Linked DNA regions of Macaca mulatta. The main gene of each other region encodes a partner of the protein of the gene in region 2 in a complex. Links are inferred from orthologs where the notes say so. Each region holds a gene or a part of one and is shown on either strand. Other genes may lie near its edges.

Evidence for each region. Proteins that work in one complex are often made in the same cells at the same time.
Region 1: UBTF (region 2) and POLR2H share a complex: the UniProt entries of both Homo sapiens proteins name them as parts of the pol I pre-initiation complex. The link is inferred for Macaca mulatta from reciprocal best matches to the Homo sapiens genes UBTF and POLR2H.
Region 3: UBTF (region 2) and POLR1C share a complex: the UniProt entries of both Homo sapiens proteins name them as parts of the pol I pre-initiation complex. The link is inferred for Macaca mulatta from reciprocal best matches to the Homo sapiens genes UBTF and POLR1C.

What each region holds. Positions count from the first base shown.
Region 1 is NC_133407.1:96,502,254-96,508,496, reverse strand, and holds the start of POLR2H (DNA-directed RNA polymerases I, II, and III subunit RPABC3), read right to left. Parts: upstream 3,998-6,243; 5' UTR 3,866-3,997; coding exon 3,793-3,865; exon of another isoform or gene 3,785-3,792; coding exon of another isoform or gene 3,784-3,784; intron 2,394-3,783; coding exon 2,310-2,393; intron 2,227-2,309; coding exon 2,133-2,226; intron 985-2,132; coding exon 901-984; intron 1-900. Other genes in the region: CLCN2 (chloride channel protein 2), read left to right, coding at 5,876-5,938. UniProt on the Homo sapiens protein: DNA-dependent RNA polymerase catalyzes the transcription of DNA into RNA using the four ribonucleoside triphosphates as substrates.
Region 2 is NC_133421.1:68,590,428-68,596,777, forward strand, and holds the start of UBTF (nucleolar transcription factor 1), read right to left. Parts: upstream 3,718-6,350; 5' UTR 3,578-3,717; intron 2,768-3,577; exon of another isoform or gene 2,693-2,767; intron 2,499-2,692; exon of another isoform or gene 2,205-2,498; intron 2,008-2,204; exon of another isoform or gene 1,793-2,007; intron 1,132-1,792; 5' UTR 1,065-1,131; coding exon 1,007-1,064; exon of another isoform or gene 952-1,006; intron 1-951. UniProt on the Homo sapiens protein: Recognizes the ribosomal RNA gene promoter and activates transcription mediated by RNA polymerase I (Pol I) through cooperative interactions with the transcription factor SL1/TIF-IB complex.
Region 3 is NC_133409.1:138,599,551-138,606,134, forward strand, and holds the start of POLR1C (DNA-directed RNA polymerases I and III subunit RPAC1), read right to left. Parts: upstream 3,998-6,584; 5' UTR 3,977-3,997; coding exon 3,908-3,976; intron 3,781-3,907; coding exon 3,709-3,780; intron 1,750-3,708; coding exon 1,642-1,749; intron 1,384-1,641; coding exon 1,251-1,383; intron 693-1,250; coding exon 573-692; intron 484-572; coding exon 331-483; intron 134-330; coding exon 1-133. Other genes in the region: protein YIPF3, read left to right, coding at 4,282-4,362, 4,997-5,203, 5,391-5,497. UniProt on the Homo sapiens protein: DNA-dependent RNA polymerase catalyzes the transcription of DNA into RNA using the four ribonucleoside triphosphates as substrates.

The DNA of each region.
Region 1 (6,243 bases), on a different chromosome or scaffold from region 2:
ATGAGTCTGGAGCACTGCTACTCAGCAGCTCTCCATCTCAGCCTAAGAAAAAGAAGAGGCATCTTTCTACTGTTTTGTCACTAGGAACCAAAATTCTGACAAAGATCAATGTACAGATATGTGCAAGGCACTGTTCTTTATATTAGCGAAGGTGGAAAACACCTATATGCCCCAAATCAGGGGAATGGTCAAATGAATCAAGATGTATCCACTTACTGAAATGTTATGCAACTATTAAAACATTTAAGAAAAGCTTCACACTAACATGGGGAAACATATTTTACATAATGTTAAGCAAAAAGAGCAGAAGAAAACATAATAAACACCACAGTCTCAAAGGAAAAAACAGAACACCAGGATATGCAAAAAAGTCTATGTAAAAGGTTATCTCTGGGTATGGAATTACAGGTGACTTTTTTTTTTCCTTCTTCACATTACTCTTCTGCATTTCAAATTGCTTACAAAAAGCACATATTGTTTTAATAAGATTTTAAAGAAAAGAAAAAATAGCTGGACAGGAAAACCAAGGAACTAGGGATTGGGTTACAGAGTAGCAAAACACACACACACACACACACACACACACACACACACACACACACACACACACAGCCTAATAGGATAATCACTTAATGCTGCATTTGTTTCTGGAGAAGCAAGTCTCCTTTGCACTTTACACAGTAAGATAACCAGTTTCTCATCTGGACTGCTGGGCCAGGAGGGCCTGACAAAGAGCAGTCTACCTTTCAGACTGGAAACTGCTCTCAGAACCATTTCTTTCTAGTTCCTACCTAGGTCTGAGGTGCCTGAGGAGAGGGACCCAACAGAGGAAGCAGGAGCATAGCTCAAAGTCTCAGAACACAGAGAGGGAAAAGAACCTCATAAGATTATGTAACTTACAGGCGTGTTGCTGCTTCAGTAGAAGTTTCGTCTCCCTCAATCCTGTACACTTTTCCATACATTACATATTCAAATTGGTCAGCCCTGTGGAGCAATAGCAGCAAAGTTATTCTTAACAGTAATTAACAATATAAAAAATCCCATTTAAAAATGGTTACTGGTCGGCTGGGCGCAGTGTATCAAGCCTGTAATCCCAGCACTTTGGGAGGCTGAGGCGGGCAGATCACGAAGTCAGGAAATCGAGACCATCCTGGCTAACACAGTGAAACCCCATCTCTACTAAAAATATAAAAAAATTAGCCGGGCGTGGTGGCGGGCGCCTGTAGTCCCAGCTACTCGGGACTGGCGTGAACCCAGGAAGCGGAGCTTGTAGTGAGCCGAGATTGAGCCACTGCACTCCAGTCTGGGCGACATAACAAGACTCCGTCTAAAAAAAAAAAAAAAAAAAAAAAAGGCACATTACAAACAAACATGATGTCATTTAGTCCTCGCAGCAACCCCGTGAGCTAGGCATGATCATGATCATCTCTATTCTACTGATGGGGAAACAGGCTGAAGGAGATTAAGGTTACTCAACAAATAAGTGATAGAGCTGAGAAATGAACTCAAGTGGGGTGCCAAAGTCTTTCCATCACACCAAGCTCCCTCCCAAGACACAAGACCCACATAGCCTAGGGCACTCAGCAGTCACCTCCTCAGCCTTCAAAAGGCTACAACTCACAAGCATGTAATCACTGTTATAGATAAATACCTGGTTGTTGGAATTTTTTTCTTTTTTTTTTGAGACAGGGTCTTACTCTGTCACCCAGGCTGGATTGCAGTGGTACAATCATGGCTCACTGCAGCCTCAACCTCCTGGGCTCAGGCAATCCTCCCACCTCAGCCTCCCAGGTAGCTGGAACTACAGGCATATGACAACATGTGCAGCCTTTTTTTTTTTTTTTTCTTTTTTTCTTATTTTTGTAGCAGTGAGGTTTCGCTATGTTGCTCAGGCTGGTTTTGAACTCCTGTACCCAAGCAATCCTCCTGCTCGGCCTCCCAAAGTGCTTAGATTACAGGTGTGAGCCACGGTGTCTGGCCTGTTTGAATTCTTAAGTGCAGAAATTTCCTTAAGGTTACTCAGATTCTGCTGATCATCATTTATTCCAGGAATTAAAGAAGAGTCTTTCTATATCACTTATCTACTTAGTTCTCAAGGCATATTCCAAGTATTACCTTCTCCACTACCTCACCTGGAAGGCCTATCATCAGTGGGGTTGTATTCACCATCATCCAGGGTACCATCTTCATACAAGGTACTAGCTATGACCAACCGGAACTTGTCACCTGAAAATAACAGCAATATCAGAGAGTGAAGAATAGCGGAAGCGGCAAAATGCCTCTTATTATTGTCTGTGTTCAATACTTACCCAAGTCTACAGGGTAAATTTGAATGTTTACATCTAAGATTAGATCCATCTTGAAAGATTCACTCTCACAATGCAGTCGAGACACTGGGGAGAAGCAGGAAAAGAGTGACAGAGGTATTGCCAGGCCCAAGGCAGATCCTACAGTGTGGGATTGTATGCAACAGAATACTCAATCTAACCCAGTCTACAACCACTGGTCTCTCATCTGCTCTCATAGAAATGCAGGCTCCATCAGAACCAGACATGCAAGAAGGAAAAGGGGAGAAAAACTGTGGCAAGTGAACGTAATCCCCAGAAAACAACCAAAGATACTTCAGCAGCAAATAATACCCGGTTCTAGGCCTGCCTGGATGACTGAGAACCTGACTCTGGGCAAGTTATTCAATCATCCAAAGGTTTCCTCTTTCTATGACAGGCACTGTGCTGAGGGGAGTTATCAAGATGTATAAGAACTGGTATCCGTCTTGAAAACATCTGAGTCTCCAGGCAAAGAATGAGACATCAAAAAGAAAATTATTGATAGATGACAAAATTAAGAGGTGTAGGCCAGTGGAGTGGCTCACGCCTGTAATCCCAACATTTTGGGAGGCTGAGGCAGGTGGATCACTTGAGGTCAGGAGTTCGAGACCAGCCTGGCCAAAGTGGTGAAACCCCGTCTCTACTAAAAATACAAAATTAGCCAGGCGTGGTGGAGCATGTCTGTAATCCCAGCTACTTGGGAGGCTGAGGCAGAGAATCGCTTGAACCCGGGAGACGGAGGTTGTGGTGAGCCAAGATCGTGCCACTACACTCCAGCCTGGGCTCGAGGCTCTGTCTCAAAAAAAAAAAAAAAAAGGATATACCAAGCAGCTAACTCTAACTCAGAGAAGACTTAAAGCGCTAAGGATTATGAGGGCAATACAAGAATATAGGCTCTGAAGTCAGATTACTCGCTGTGAAGCCTTGGGTGGATTACTCTCTCAGAAAAAAATGGGGAAGGCACCACCCACCTCATGAGGACTCTCATTTTCTTGAGGAGTCTCGCTCTGTTGCCAGGCTGGAGTGCAGCGGCGCAATCTTGGCTCACTGCAACCTCCGCCTCCCAGGGTCAGGCAATTCTCCTGCCTCAGCCTCCCAAGTAGCTGGGATTACAGGCGCCCGCCTGTAATTTTTGTATTTTTGGTAGAGACGGGGTTTCACCATGTTGGCCAGGCTGGTCTCACAAGACAGTGTCTAGCACAGAGCAGGTAGCGATTATAAAGATGCCCAGGAGTTTGCCAGCACCATGACAAAAGGCCACCTAGGCACCGGGCACGGCATGCGTGAAGCCAGAGAAAGCTCGGGAGTCTCCCTTTTCTCATCCATAAATTGTTTCCTGAGGGAGGTCCCTACATCAGGACCTGCTGGTAGGGGCAGGCCACAAGAGCTGGGTGGACACGGGGTCCAGGGGCATGTCCGCGAGGTTAGCCTCTTCCTCCAAATCGCCCCTACCTACTTTACTTACCTCGGTCAAACTTCTTGCCCTCCGGGTCAATATCCTTCACATCGAAAATATCTTCAAAGAGGATGCCCGCCATCGCGAGGGGGCCACGAGAGCAGCAGAAGGGGTGAGCGGGCGACCACAGCTGGGAGTACGCGCACCCGCTCTGGTGCAGAAGAGGGGAGAAGAGCAAAACCAGCTTTTACATGCGCGGCAGCCAGACAAGAGTGGCGCATGCGCACAAACAAGTGGTAACGCGCCCACTTCCGCCACAGACTCCCGCTCGGGGCTACTTAACTTCCGCCCCAAAAGATTGCTCCCGAGAGGCTTCGGCGTTGAGGGCGGGTCTCACGTCCAGGTGGCCCCGCCCAGGGCGGGGAAACAATAGGTCCAACCTCCCGCGGCTGTAGAGCGGGTTCTAGCGCTCAGCTGGGGCTCTGCTGCGCCCTCTTCAGAGGCCGGGTCCCGAAGATTGGAAGTCGTGGGGGCCTAACCCAGGCAGGGACCTTGATCCTTGGCCCAGAGAAGCCGGGCCCTAGCCCTACCCCGCCGGTCTGCGTGCCCGCCTAGGGCACAGTCCGCGCCGAGGGCAGGTGGAGCAGAACCCCGCCCCAGAGGTGCCCAGCCCCTCCAGCCGGCACCGCGGACCCCGGGGCCTGCCCGGGCCGGCTCGGCCCTGCTGGATGTAACCCGAGCCGGATCCGTCCAGTTTGGGAATTTGCCATGATGTCGCTATGGAGAAGAGGAAAGCCTGTATTGTCCCCTCCCCTCGTACTGCACCCTCCCACCACTGCCCGCTTCCCCCAGGCCCTGCTGTCTTCCCCGTCACCGCCCCCTCAGCCTGGCTCCCGCCACCCGCCTCCCCCGGGCATTACCCCTCCAACTTAGTCCTCCACTGCCTTCTCCTGGACACGGATCCCCTCCGTGCCCCTTCAGCCTGGCACTGCCCTGTCCCTTGGACACCAGCTCTTCCCTCACACTGGCCCTTCCTCCTGGGTACTGGCTTCTATCACAAGGCTCCCCCTTCCCGGGCACTGCCCCCGCCCCCTGAGGCCCTCCTCTGCCTCCCAAATGCCCCTTCCTCCTGGTGCTGGCTGTCCCGCACACTTGTGCGTTTCCTGGGCGCTGCCCTCGCTCCTCTCACACTATCTCTATGCTGCCCATCCACCCTGCGCGCGCTCTGCCATCTGTTCTATCCTTCACCAGCCCCTGATAGAGAACCCAGAGCACCAGCAGGCGGTTCCCCCAAAGCGGAGAGATGGAAGCAGCGACTCTGGTTCCTCCTTGGGCCCAACCAGGGAGAAGCGACCCACGCCCGCGTCCCAGAAGTGGACTTCCCGGCACCTGGAGCTCCCTTCCCTCCGGCCTACCCCTTCCGGTGCCCTCCCCAACCTCCACCCCTGCACACCCCGTAGGCCGGGTTGCTCCAAGTGCACCTCCCCAGGGGAGCCCCGAGAAAAGGAAGGATGAGGAAGACGGCTCCAATTCCCTCCGAATTCTCCCAGCTTTGCTTTTCACCCCTGACGGGGCAGAGGGGCCTTCCTGGGCCTGTCTGGGCCGCTCGTCCCTTCGGAGGGACAGAGGGGAGGCGGCTCCTAACGGGCTGACCCGGAGGAATCCGATGTAGACAGCTCCGCAGCTCCCAGCCCCAACCCCTACGGAGTTCAGGCGTCTGCAGCCCCTCCTGCCTGGGCACTGGGAACTGCGAACCCGGGTGGGCCCCTCCACGTGCCAGTAGACCCGCCCCTCCCGGGCGCCCCTCTCCGACCCGGGCCTCTGCAGGGAGCCGGCGCGGGCTTACGCCTTCCCAGCGCCCTTTGCCGCCTCTCGGGAGGCCCCGCACGGACCCCAGCCTGGCTGGGCCGTCCCCTCCGGATGGGCCGGCGGGCGGAGCAGCGCAGAGGGCACCGCCCTCTGCCCGCCCGCCGAGGAGGGGACGCGAGCGGGAGGCTGCGCCAGCGGCGCCCGCCGGGGGCCCGCCGCACTCTGCTCTCGGCCTCCGGAGCTGCGGGGACGGGACGGCTACCTGCGCTGACTCTGCGGGCCGGGAGCCAAGTCCAGGACAGAGCCGGAGCCGCTGAGGGAGGCGAGAGGGCAGTGCGCGGAGATGGCGGCCGCGGCGGCGGAGGAAGGGATGGAGCCGCGGGCGCTGCAGTACGAGCAGACCCTGGTAAGTGAAGATGAGCTGAGCCCGAGGAGTGCGCTCCGGGACCGCCGCTCCAGGTTACCCTGGGAAGCGCGAGGACCAGGGGCCTACCCTAATCCTGTCCCAGCCTTTTGAGCTGGGGAAACTGAGGCTTGGAAGTTTGAGGCTGCAGGGCCGAAGGGATGGAAACTGCATGCTGGTTTCTGGCTGAGGCTGAGGGCCTGCAGAGGACAAGGACACCAGGTACTTGTCCCAGGTGTCCTTCCCCTGACCCCCCCAACATGCACGTTTTCTTTGCTCCTCCCCTTCACCACTTGGGCCCAAGTCTT
Region 2 (6,350 bases):
ATGTGCAAGGACTGAGGATGGGGTGTGGGCAGTAAGGAAAATTCATGCACATGTTTCTCCTGCACAGCTGGAGACCAATGTTAGAGATACCCACTATCCCCTAGCCCCTCAAGGCAGATCAAGGGAGAATTTCTGGCAAATAAGAAAAAAGAAACAGAAACAGAAGCAGGATACAGGGCAACTCTGAGGCAAAGTAGGCAGGTGCACAAAAGCTCTCAGGGCCCTGATCCAGGGAGAACCCCCAGAATTACAAGCTGTCTTGTCAGCCCAGCTCCCCAGGGAAGCAAGACCAGGTCTGGACCAGTTATTTTCAGCCACTGAAATGCAGCCCCAGAGAGCTCTAGGCCTCTGTGGATGGGCTGGGAGAATAGTCACCCAAGGCCAGAAGTCAAAAGGGCTCTCCATTTTCATTCGCATCTCGTAACCTAGGCCAGGGATTCTGCAGAATGGGCCACAAGGACCCATAATCCCCTCTCCCCTCAATGTCCCACAAGCATGGCCAGCTGCCCAGCTCCATCCTACCCTCCACCCCCATCCAAACTGGATCACTGCTGAATGAGGCAGAGATCTAGTTGAGTACATATATCCCATGGCTTGGGGCCTCAAACCACCACAACAGCCCTCTTCTCCACCTGCCTCTACAAAAGCCTCATGGTCTTCCTAAAAAGCCTGAGAAGCCTTCCCTCTACAGTCATCATTCCTCCCATTCCAGGACACTGGGCTGGGACACACTTAAGGTTGAATGCAAACCCCAGAAGGCAGGCCTCCTCTAACATAGGGTGTGAGGGACAGGGAGAGAGGGGAGGTAAGCCACTCCAGGCCAAAAAATTTGGATTCAGCCAAACCAATCAAGTGTGGGAGATGCTTGATTCATAAGTACTCAAGGCACTTTCTCCCCCAATTCAGTGTATGCAGACTGGAAAAGCCCTTGAAGAAGGCAGTGTGCCCCACAGCCACGAGGCAAAGAGGGTTTAAGTTTCAGAGGGCTGGGAGTGGATGCCCCTACCTTGGCCTTTGGGGGCGGCCATTTCCAGGTCTGTGGGGCAGTCGGCTTCTCCGTTCATCCTCCAGCTGTCCAGCCACCTCCTCGGTCGTGCTGGCCGGGCAACCCGGGGTCAAAGCCACCTCACCCTTTGGAAGACATACAAGTTCCCACTCAGGAAGGCTGAGAGGTGAACGACTTTCTAACCCTCCCCGCCCAGAGTAAAGGTGGGCAGGTCCACGCTCTCAGAGACCCAGCCATAACCTTATCAGACTTAAGGGGTCTCTGGGAGGGAGAGTACGCCCCTCCTCTTCTTCCTGACCCCCCTCCCCCAGCCCCTGCGGCCCGGCTCCGCGGCGCGCGCCCTCCCCTGCCCACGCGAGGGCCTGCTCCCAGCTCCCGCGTGCAGCGAGCGCCCGCCCTCCGCCCCCCTTCCCCAACCCCAGCCAAAAAAAAAAAAAATCTCCTCCTCCTCTGAGCGCCCGCCCCGGGGAGGCCCCAGGCTGGAGGGCGGGGGAAGAGGAAGGGCGGGTAAAGGGCGCGCGCGGCCACGGAAGCGGGCACGCGCCCCAGTCTCCTCCTCCCGCCTCCCCCCAGCCGGTTCCCCCCGCCTCCGCAACCCGGCGGGGACCCGGACGCAGCGCAGCCGCCGCCAGCCCCGGAGCGCAGCGGCCGCACCGCCCCCGGGGACCGGATCCGGATTCTCGCCGCTCCCCCCTCCCGGGCTCCCTTCGCCGTCCCCGCCCGCACAGGCGGGCGAGCAGCCGGAGAGAAGCGGCCTAGCCTGCCCCCCGCCCCCGAGCCACCCACCCCGGCCAGAGGCGCCGCCACCACCCAGCCACCCCGACGCGCACGGAGGAGCCCGGCACAGAGGCGCGACCGCGGCGGGAACCGCCGCCTCCTCCCCCGAGCCTGCGGCCCAGCCCCGCCGGCGCCCCCGCCCCGGCCTCCGGGGAGCCGAGCCAAGGAGAGGGCGGGAGGACGGCGGCCGGGAGGCGGGGGCGCAGCGCTCACCGGCCCCGCCGCCCCCTCCGGCGGCCGGGGAGAACTGCGCCTGCCGGATCCGAGAAGCGCGGGCTCCTCCGCCAGCGGCCGTGGCTCGGCTCAGGCCTCGCTTCCTGCCTTCCCCTCCCCCGGCTCTCGGCGTCCTCCCAAGTGCCCTGGTCTGCTCGCGCCCGGTCCCCTGCTCGGTGGTCGCTCCGGGTCCCTGCTGGGCGCCCACCGCAACCCGCGGTTCGCTCCCTGCTGTCCGGCCCCGAACCCAGCGCGCGTTCTCAGCCGCCTCGGTTACCCGGCGCAGCGCGGCCTCCGGGCTTCCCGCTCCGGCGGCTCCCTCCCCGGCTCTGAGTGGCGGCGCCCTCCCCCGCTCGGCCGGGCACAGCCGCAGCTCCCTCCCGCGGCGGCAGCGGCTCCTCCTCCGGGCGAGGCGGCGGCGCTGGGGCGGCGGCTGCTGCTGCTGTGGCGGCGGCGGCGGCGGCTGTGGCTGCTGCCTGCTGCTCCTCGCGGCGAAAAGCACAAAGCACAGCGCCCTCCGCCTGCAGGCAGCCCGCCCGCCGCCGGCCCCGGCCTCAGCTCGCACACCCCCCGCCGCCGCCGCAGCCTCAGCCGCCGGAGCGGGGAGGAGGAGGGAGAAGGGAGGAGGAGGAGCGGGAGGGGGGGCGGGAGAAGCGGGGCAGCGAGCGCGTCCTTCCCCGTAGAGCGCACACCGACCCCCGGGGAGCGAGCGCCAGCCCGCCCGCCTCGCCGGCTCCGCTCCCTCCCACAGCCTGCCCGGGCGGGCTCCGCGGGGGGCAGCTGGGAGGAGGGGCGGGAGCTGGGGGGACCCGGGCGGCCGAGGCGGAGGGAAGGAAGGAGGGGAGGGGGGTGGTGGTGGTGCTGGTGCTGGTGGCGGCGGCGGCTGCTGCTGCTGCTGCTGCCGCCGCCGCCGCCGCCGGGGAAGGGGGGGGCCGGGGCAGGGAGACACGCAGCCGCCCGGATGGCGGCGGGGCTCGGAGCCGGGGCGGGCGGGCGGGCGGGCGCCGAGAGCGACCTCGCCAGACCCGCGGGGGAACTAGCAGGCTTTGCCGGCGCGGGAGGGAGGGCCGAGGCGCGGCCGCGGAGAGGGTGCCCGGAGGGGCCCCCGGCGGCCAGGAAGGCTTGGGGGGCGCCCACAGCCCTGCTCCGGAGCTCTCCCCCAAGTCCTCCCAGCTCAGACTGGGGCTTCCAGGCCAGCTCTCTCCCGCCTCCCGGAGCGAGCGGTCCGCGCCCACCCTCATCCCCCGGAGCGTGGCCACTGGTTTGGGGCGCACGCACGCCGATCGCGGCGTCCAGCTTCGGCGCCTACCTCGCGATCCTCTCATTGCCGAACGGTACATAGGAAACTTTAAAAAAACCCAAAACCGAAAATCTCTGCATTAAAAAAAAAAATCCCCGTTGCTCTTTACACCCCGGAAACGGCGAGGGAACGACGGGCTCCGGCGGAGGGGCCGCTGTGGGAGCCGGTTCAATCCAGCCCGGCATGGCTCCCCAGGCCTGCCCGGGCGCATGGAGATCGGTGCCGCCGCCACTCGTAGCAACCCCTCTCCCCCGAAATCCGCGGCGCCCGGGCTCACTTACCGAGCGTGTGGATGGGAGCGCAGGCCGGGGGCACCTGGGAGCACGGCGGGCGGAACAGCCGAGCCGCAGCTCCGCTGCAGCCGACGCCGGGGCAGCGAGTCGCCAGACAAAGCCCGAGATGGCGAAGCGGAGCGACGGCTAATGGCGAGCCCCACGCGCCGCGCTCCGCCCGCCCCGCTCCGCCCGCCCGCCCGCCCGCCTCGGCGCAGCGCAGCGCCGCTCCGAGCGCTTGCCCGTCAGAGCCGCCTCGGCGCCGCCGCCTCCCGGGCCACCCCGGCCTCGCCTGGCCCCTCCGCCTCCTCCGGGCGGCTCAGCCTCACCCCTTCCCTCCCACTGCTTTAGGGGTTGCACAAAAAAAAATTTTTTTTTTAAAGTAAAATGGTTTTCTTCCTTTTTTTTCTTTTTTCCTTTTTTGCAGGGCGGGCGTGTTGAGACTTTTGGATCTTTCTGCCCGCAGCTCGCACTCACCTGCGGAGCCGCCGGGAGGGCTAGGGGTGGGGGCGCGCGGGGCTGGAGCCGGCGAGCGCGGGTTGAAAGCCAGCCAAGCTCTGCAGCGCCCGACCCGGGCGTGTACGCCGCCGCCAGTCCCCGCAGAGAAATCGTCCTCCTACCCCCGCCTCCATCGCTCTGCGTTTCTCTTCCAATCAGCCGGTCGCTTGGTGGCTCCTCCATTCTCCGGCCAAGCCCAGCTGCCTAGAGCGAGCTCCACTCCTCCATCTGTTCGCCGGGGTCCTCGCTCCCCTGCCGGGGCTGGGAGGCGGCGTGAGGCCGGAGGGGGATTTGCAAGGAAACCTGCCTGCTTCCCGCTCCCATTGCTCCATCCCCGCTGCCTCCTGCCTCCTGCTTCTCTCCTGCGTCTTTCCAACTCTCCCCTGTCGCCACTGGTGTGTGTCTGAGTGTGTGCGCGGTTTTTTTTTTTTTTTTTATTGCTCTTTGCTTTTGCAACCCTGAAGCAAAAGGGAGGGGGGGTAGTTACAGGGGAAAAAAAAAAAAAGCGAGAAAGAAGCTCTTAGATTTGCAACACATCGGAAAACCGAGGGAGCACCCCGCCTTATCCGATCTCCATGCTCCGCGAGGGCCTTCCGGGTTTTAAAAGGACGAGCTTATCAATGTCCCCCTCTTCGCTGGGTTTAGGATCCGAGGAGTCCGAGCAAAAAGTTCTCCCCCTGGGTCGTAGTGAGGGGTGTCAGGGTGGGAGTTGCGGGGATTTTTCAAGAAGAAGCGGCTATCCTTCCTACCCCGGCGTCGGTCACTGGGCGGGGGTAGGGGAAAGAGCAAAATCCCAGTGGGTTTGCGCGAGGGATCTTCTGGGGTCGAGGCGGGGCGGGGGGGAGTCGGAACCGGGAGACACCACTTGGCGCATCTCCCCCTCGGTCTATACCTCCTGTCTTTTGCCAGCTCCCCCTTTAATTTTTTTTCTCTCCTTTAATCTAATTTCTTCCAACTCCACCTTTGTTGTTACCGGCGTCACGCCCGGACCAGCCAATCCTCGCCACGCAATCAGCTTGTCAAAAAGCCTCGGCCGGCCCTGGGAAAGCAGGCCGCAGGCGCTGCCCCCCGGCGGCGGCGGGCAGCCGCGAGGGGAGCCCAGCACCCGGTTCTCGCTGCTCCGGGCGGCAGCGGAGCAGCCTGCGACGAGACGTCTCCCGGTTCACTAAACTGCAGGCCGGGGATGAAAGGCCTGGACGGGGTCCACCACCCACCCTCCCACTATCATGGCTGTGGTTGTCTGTCTTTGCCTCCCCTTTTCAGAGGAAAGGTTATCAGGACAGGACGCAGGGAGCCAGAAGACCATCTGAAGGAAGCCTGCTTCCAGCAGGCCCAGTCTCCAGCCACCGCTTCTGGGGCAGCGCCATTGCTCCTGGCTCTCAGGCTGCCAGTCTCCCACACCGAGGCTCTACTGCCCGCATCTCGGCCAGCTGGATCACCCAGCCCCTTTCGACTCTCCCCTGGCATGCAGCCTTCTCCTCCACTCGGCCTGCCTCTTTGCTGCTGTAATTCCTCTTGTCTCCTGGGAGAAATGAGATTGTTTTCCCAGGACTTCCAGATCCCACTTCTGTCACGTTTCACAAACAGGGAGGAAGCCCTGTCAAGATCTGGTGTGTCCTGTTTTTGTTTGTTTGTTTGTTTTTGGGGGCACTGGCATATAGGAGAGGCAGATTTACCACTCGTAGATTAATTTCAGCTTCTAGGCCCCTAACTTTCAGGACCTGCCCAAGACCCTGAACTTAATTTTGTTTTCATCTTTTTTTTTTTTTTTTTTTTTTTGTCAAAAGAGCCACCGACCACCTACCCCTCACCCCGCAATTGCACATGTTTCTGGCCTTACAAACCCAGATTGGCCCTTGGAATATACACAGGGCAATTTGTGTAGGATCACACTGCACTAAAAGTGAGGCATGGTGGGCTAGGCGTACTGGCTCACACCTGTAATCCCAGCACTTTGGGAGACCCAGACAGGAGGTCTTAAGTGATTAAGCCCAGGAGTTCAAGATCAGCTTAGACAACATAGCAAGACCCTGCCTCTACAAACACACACACACCCTATTATAATACGTTAAAAAAAAAAAAAAAAGGAAAAGTGAGGCATAGAACTGACTTGTTTTGACTAGGAAAGAGCAAAGGGTTTGGAATCCAAAGTTTCAGCTTCCCCACCTTCTTAATAGTGTGTGAATCTGAGTGTCTTATTAACTTTCCCTGGTCCCAGTTTCCATATCTGTAAAATTAGAATAGCAATCTTATTTACTTTGCTTCTCTCACCAGGAATCAGAAG
Region 3 (6,584 bases), on a different chromosome or scaffold from region 2:
TCAATAACACCAGGTGAGAAGCACCTGCTCAACTCCTCAGCTGCCTCCCCTTCCACGGGCTCAAGCAGGGTGATGTCTGGCAGGAGCCTATAACTGGCTGTTGCCACTGGTGAAAACTTGGCATGATCTTTGCCTGGAGAGGAAGAGAGAAAGTGCCTATACGAAACCCTTCTAGGATTAGGAAGAATACTCTTCCTAAGCTGCTAACAGCAAAAGCACGATGCTCTTGGCTTTCTACCTGCTAGGAATATCTCAGCTGAGTTCCCTAGTCAGCTTGCCCCACTGCAACCAAACTACCCCTCTTCCCAGGAAGGAACACAGGGTTCTCACCAATGCCCTTGACACAGTGCATAAGCAGGTCAATTTCTTGGCCAGGCCGCAGCTGAGCAATGAGGATGTCATCGTGCACTGGTCGGATAGTGCCCTCTGGGAAAAGATCAGCCTGATTCCCCAGGGGGATCCATGTCATATGCCTGGTATACACTGGAGGAAAAACATGTCAAAAGATTTCAGTTCCTAAAACTAGCAGCCACCCACAGGTGGGGCCTCTTCCTCACCCTACCACTACTTACCTTTGTGGTTCACATACAGTTCGTTGGGGTCAGAGGAATCTTTAGCAGCATGGGGGTTCCGAGTGCATCTGACTTGGAGACGAAACCGTAGGGTATCTATCTCTGTGCCGTCTTCATCTCCTGCACAAATGGAGGGAGCTCTTAAGAACTAGTAAACATCTGGCCGGGCGCGGTGGCTCAAGCCTGTAATCCCAGCACTTTGGGAGGCCGAGACGGGCGGATCACGAGGTCAGGAGTTCGAGACCATCCTGGCTAACACCGTGAAACCCCGTCTCTACTAAAAAATACAAAAACTAGCCGGGCGAGGTGGCGGGCGCCTGTAGTCCCGGCTACTCGGGAGGCTGAGGCAGGAGAATGGCGTAAAAACCCGGGAGGCAGAGCTTGCAGTGAGCTGAGATCCGGCCACTGCACTCCAGCCTGGGCGACACAGCGAGACTCCGTCTCAAAAAAAAAAAAAAAGAAAAAAAAAAAAAGAACTAGTAAACATCTGAGTGCCAGCACTATGCTGAATGCTTTACATATGTGTCCCATTTAATTACGGCAAACTTGGGAAGCCAAGGCAAGTGTTCTCACAGATGAAAAACACTGATGTACAAACATAAGTAACTTACCCAACATCACAGTCAACCAGGATTTGAACCCAGACAGTCCACTTCTCCCAAAATTTCATTTTCTTACCTTGATTCCGATACTCAAAAAGACGGGGATCAGCATGAATGGGAATGAGCCCCAGACGGTGAGCAAGGATCTCATCCTGAACAATGGATGTATTATTGTACACCAGGACCTTCTCCACAGCCATAGTTGGCACCTGCCCAAGGAAAAATAACCACTTATCTGCAAAAACCCAACAGACCCCCTACCTATCCCCACAACCCCACCCTCCAGAGGTAAGGAGCTATCTCTCTTCCTAGAATGTTTAATGAGAAATTTACAAAGAATGAGAAGGTAAAATGCTCAGCAAAATTCCAGGAAAAATGAGGGAAGGACAGCTTGAGACAATTCTCCAAGTGAGGTGTCAGTGCAGTTCCCAAAGCAACTCCAGCCTTGTCACCATGCCTGCCAATACCTCAGCTAACAGAATTCGTCGAAAAGCATTGGCAATGGCTGCGTCAATTCCCACCATGTCGAACTCCAGTGAGTTTTCATCCATGTGTACTACATCCACACGGAAATTCTAGAGGGACAGGAAAAACATTTAAGTGAAACCTGCTCTCTCTGTAATATCTCTTCATACCTCCCCCTTAGATAATTCCCTCAAGTATTATCCTCTCATCCAAAAACCTCCCTTTGCCCAGATGTCCCTTATTAAATATTCTTTCTCGCCCAGTGCTTTAGTTTCATAAAAAGTCTCCATTTTTGTCGTCCATTCATTAAAACCCTATGCAATATGGCTTCCAACCAAACCATCCACAGAAGCTATTCCACTAAAGAACAGAAACTACCATAGTGCTTAGTCCTGTTGACACTACCCAGTCCTCTTACTAGACTTCTGTTATGCTTGACATTGATTAAAAAACCTCCTCTGGGCCCAGCACGGTGACTCACACCTGTAATCCCAGCACTATGGGAGGCCGAGGGGCGGATCACAAGGTCAGGAGTTTGAGACCAGCCTGGCCAGCATGGTGAAACCCCGTCTCTACTAAAAATTCAAAAAATTAGCTGGGCATGGTGGCGCGTAGCTGTAGTCCCAGCTACTCGGGAGGCTGAGGCAGGAGAACTGCCTGAACCCAGGAGGCGGAGGTTGCAGTGAGCCAAGATTGCACCACTGCACTCCAGCCTGGGAGATAAGAGTGTCTCATGAAAAGGAAAAAAAAAAAAAAAATCCCCTTTTTTGAACGATTCCCCTGGTTTCTGAGCTCCACTCTTCTTCCATCTCTGATGATCAACTTCCACCCATCTCTAAATTTGCCAGGTTCTTGTCTCTCTCCCAGGTCACCTTAACTGTACTAACAGTTTTAGCAACTATCTGTTCTGACAACTCCCAAAATTTTATCTCACTTCTGATCTCATTTCAAGCATGCAGTCTTCTAGCCTGCTAGATTTCCCCACATACAGAAAACAATGCATCATCATCCCTGTTCCCCAGACCCATTTCTCCTCTTAGTAAATGATACCACAAAGCAAAAAGCAGTTCCCAAGCCAGAAAAAGTCATTTTATGCTACCCCCACAGCCTTTATCCAAGCAATCATAAATTTACCTTATATTCTTCCTTTGCTCTATTTCTACCATCAGTCTTAGTTCATATCTTCAACCTCAGCTTCCCTTACAACAGATCTGCCTGCTCCATATGATCCTCCTCAAACTCATTCCCTCCCAGCCATCAAGGTTGCAAATCTGATCATGTCTGCTTAAGAAACTATTCAAGCTCCCTATCATCCACAGTGTGACACACTTCAATCTTGCCGACCACTCATGCCAGAACTACTTGGACATTCCCGGAGCACATGTCACAGAAGTCATAATTTTTTTTCAAGCATTAGCCTTTTTCATTGTTCATACTTTATTCCTTGTATCAACAGGTTAAAAAAGTAAAATTTTCCCAGGCACTGATTTACACATCATGTTTATAAGCTGCATAAAGGGTAACATTTAGGTCAGTTGCATAAAGAGTAACATTCAGTAATCTATTTAAATGCAATTTTAACCCTTATTTTAAGCTAAGTGAAACAATAATACAAAAGACTAAATACACACAAAACCTGCATATCCTGAACTTCACTGACGTGAAACTCAAATCTTTCATAATTCAACTCCTGTTTTTTTTTTTACTTACCATTCAAGGTTCAATTCAGGTGTCCCCTCCTCTTGAAATGTTAAGTACCTCTCGGCCCCTCTTCCTGGTCTCAGCGGAATGCTCCCCACCCCAACCCTGCCGTCTTCATCGCTATCAACCACCTTCACCATATTACACTAGATGCACTTGTTTATACGCACCATTCCTCAACAAGACGGAATATCTCTGCAGAGATAGAAACCGTGTCTAATTTGGCCTGTAAACGGAGCGTCTAGCACATTGCTCAACAAACACAAACGGAGCGACCCCCAAAAGCAGCTGCTGAGACAGACACAGGCTGCTCAGGCCACAGGGTCTGGCCTTCATAACCCTCCCCAGACAACTTCGGCCCCACTTACCTTCTCGAAGCGGTCCTGGTCCCAGGCATCATCATAACCGGAATAGTTTCCGGGAAAGTCAGTGGTATGGACCTAGAGCAAAGGGACGAGTTTGTCCACAAAGGGACAATGAGCCCACGGCTATCCCCACGCCAATCCCAAGACCCACCCCTGTTCCGCTCTCATTCCTCCCGCCCGAGCTCAAGGCCACAAGGCTTACATTGCGAACCCCAAACTCCCCTAGAACCACGCGGCCCCGCATCTCCTCCACCGCCTGAGAAGCCGCCATCTTCAATCTCTCCACGAGACTGGAGGCTCTATCTGGCGCGTGCGTCCTAGTAGACTGGCTCCGTCTCCGTGGCAACGCGCCACCGCCTGGAATCTTAAATATCGCGAGACTTTTCCCCGCTTCCGTCCACGTCCCCAGCCTCCGGAAGTTGGTTTTGTCCAAACATCCGGGCTTCTCTTTTTTGTGTTCCGGCCGATCCCACCTCTCCTCGACCCGGGACGTCTCCCTCACTAAGGCCCACGTCTCGCCCACTCCTCCGCGCGCGGGGCTAGCGCGGGCTTCAGCGACGGGAGCCTTCAAGGGACATGGCAACTACAGCGGCGCCGGCGGGCGGCGCCCGAAATGGAGCTGGCCCGGAATGGGGAGGGTTCGAAGAAAACATCCAGGTAATGGCCCCAAGGCACTAGCTGCCAGCAACCCGAGGGCCAGCGATGTCCAGAAGTGTCTTGAGGATTCTTCCTGTGGGCCTGGAAGTCCGCTCCATTTGCAAAACTCTCTTCTTTGGGTCTTCGTGCACACTAAAGTCAGTAGGATTAACATTGACCTGAAAGGGCCAGACTAGTACTCCAGCCTGAGGGTCTCGGGTCTCTGGGCCCGCTCGAGGCATTAGGAAGAAGGTATTCTTGGAACAAGTTAGGAAGTTGGTCGGGGTCAGGCATGGAGTGGGGTTGGGTGGGATTCACTGGCATTCGCTGAAAACATATTATGTGTATAGTTTTGTTTGGGGCTTAGGAAAGAAGGAAATGGGCACTTTTTCAGCCTTTTAGTCTTTGGTAGGTAAGGTAGGAAAAAGACAGGAATGGAAGACTAGTAGTATGTTTCCCAGGCTAGAAAATTCAGCCAAAGCTAGAAACCAAGAGTTCTGAGAGCATATGAGGGGGAATGGAGTGGCATGATCTGTAGTGATTCCGAGCCGTATCCTCAGCAGTGGAAGAACAAAGCCCTAAACCCTGGGATGAGCAGAGGACTTAATGGATGGAACAGAAAAGTCCTGCACTCTAGGAGCCATTGTCTTCACAGGGCGGAGGCTCAGCTGTGATTGACATGGAGAACATGGATGATACCTCAGGCTCTAGCTTCGAGGATATGGGTGAGCTGCATCAGCGCCTGCGCGAGGAAGAAGTAGACGCTGATGCAGCTGATGCAGCTGCTGCTGAAGAAGAGGATGGAGAGTTCCTGGGCATGAAAGGCTTTAAGGGACAGCTGAGCCGGCAGGTGGCAGATCAGGTAAGCATGATTGAATCTTCTGCAGGTGGAAAGGTATACCTAGGTATGTCCCATGTTCTGGAGTTGGTGTTGGTGATGTTTGCCCCAGGTTGTCCAGTTAGAACCATGTAGAAATCAAGCGGAAAATAGGCAACAGGGTCTAGAACCAACAGTCCCACAATACCTATGCCCATCTTCCTTACTTCAGATGTGGCAGGCCGGGAAGAGACAAGCCTCCAGGGCCTTCAGCTTGTACGCCAACATCGACATCCTCAGACCGTACTTTGATGTGGAGCCTGCTCAGGTGCGGAGCAGGTGAGGAGCCTTCTCTTGAAGAAGCTTCCCTCCTAACACCTAGTCCTTTATGCACACTACAATCAGATTTCAAGCCCTGGGCTCTGGTGGGCTCCCCCTCTTCATGACCCCATCATCTCTCATCACTACACCTGTCACTGAAACAAATAATAATAGCTACCAACTTTCTCCTTTTTTCCATCTAGCTGACTACTCATATTCCCTCAAAACCTACCTCAGATGTCACTTCCTCTGTTCCACATTCCTCAATCCCACCCCCAGTTTGTTCTCTCCTGGTGTTCCTATAGAACTTTGTGCTTGGCAGCCGGGCGCGGTGGCTCACGCCTGTAATCCCAGCACTTTGGGAGGCTGAGGCGGGTGGATCACAAGAGCAGGAGATCGAGACCATCCTGGCTAACACTGAAACCCCGTCTCTACTAAAAATACAAAAAAAATTAGCCGGGCGTGGTGGCAGACACCTATAGTCCCAGCTACTTGGGAGGCTGAGGTAGGAGAATGGCATGAACCCGGGAGGCAGAGCTTGCGGTGAGCCGAGATCGCGCCACTGCGCTCTAGCCTGGGCCACAGAGCGAGACTCCATCTAAAAAAAAAAAAAAAAAAAAAAAAGAACTCTGTGCTTGCCTCTAATAGACAGCACTTCACCACTGCTTTCCTTTCTTATTCCTGGAATCTTCCCCCCAGAGACCAACAGCATCTCAAAAGCAGGCTCTGTCTTGTTTATCTTTTTATTCCCAGCAGCAGAACAGTCTCAGAATCAAAATATCAGGGCATAGTTTTTGAGTGACTTTTCAAGAACTAGATTTAATCCTGGCTTGGTTTTTTTGTTCGTCCTTTAATCAATGCTAATCAAATACCCAGGACCACTCTGCAAGTATTTATTAAGCATTTGCTCTGTGCCAGACCCTATACTAATTGTATCTGGTTCAGTGGTGAAGATAGATAGGAGCCTTGCTCTTGAGTGCAGTTACAGCACAGTATTCATGCTATGATGGGGCACACAGGAGGGATATGTGAGCCAAAGCAGGTTGGTGGATGGGACAGGACAAGTTTCCCAGAGGAAGTAAAATCTAGCTAAAATCCAAGGTAT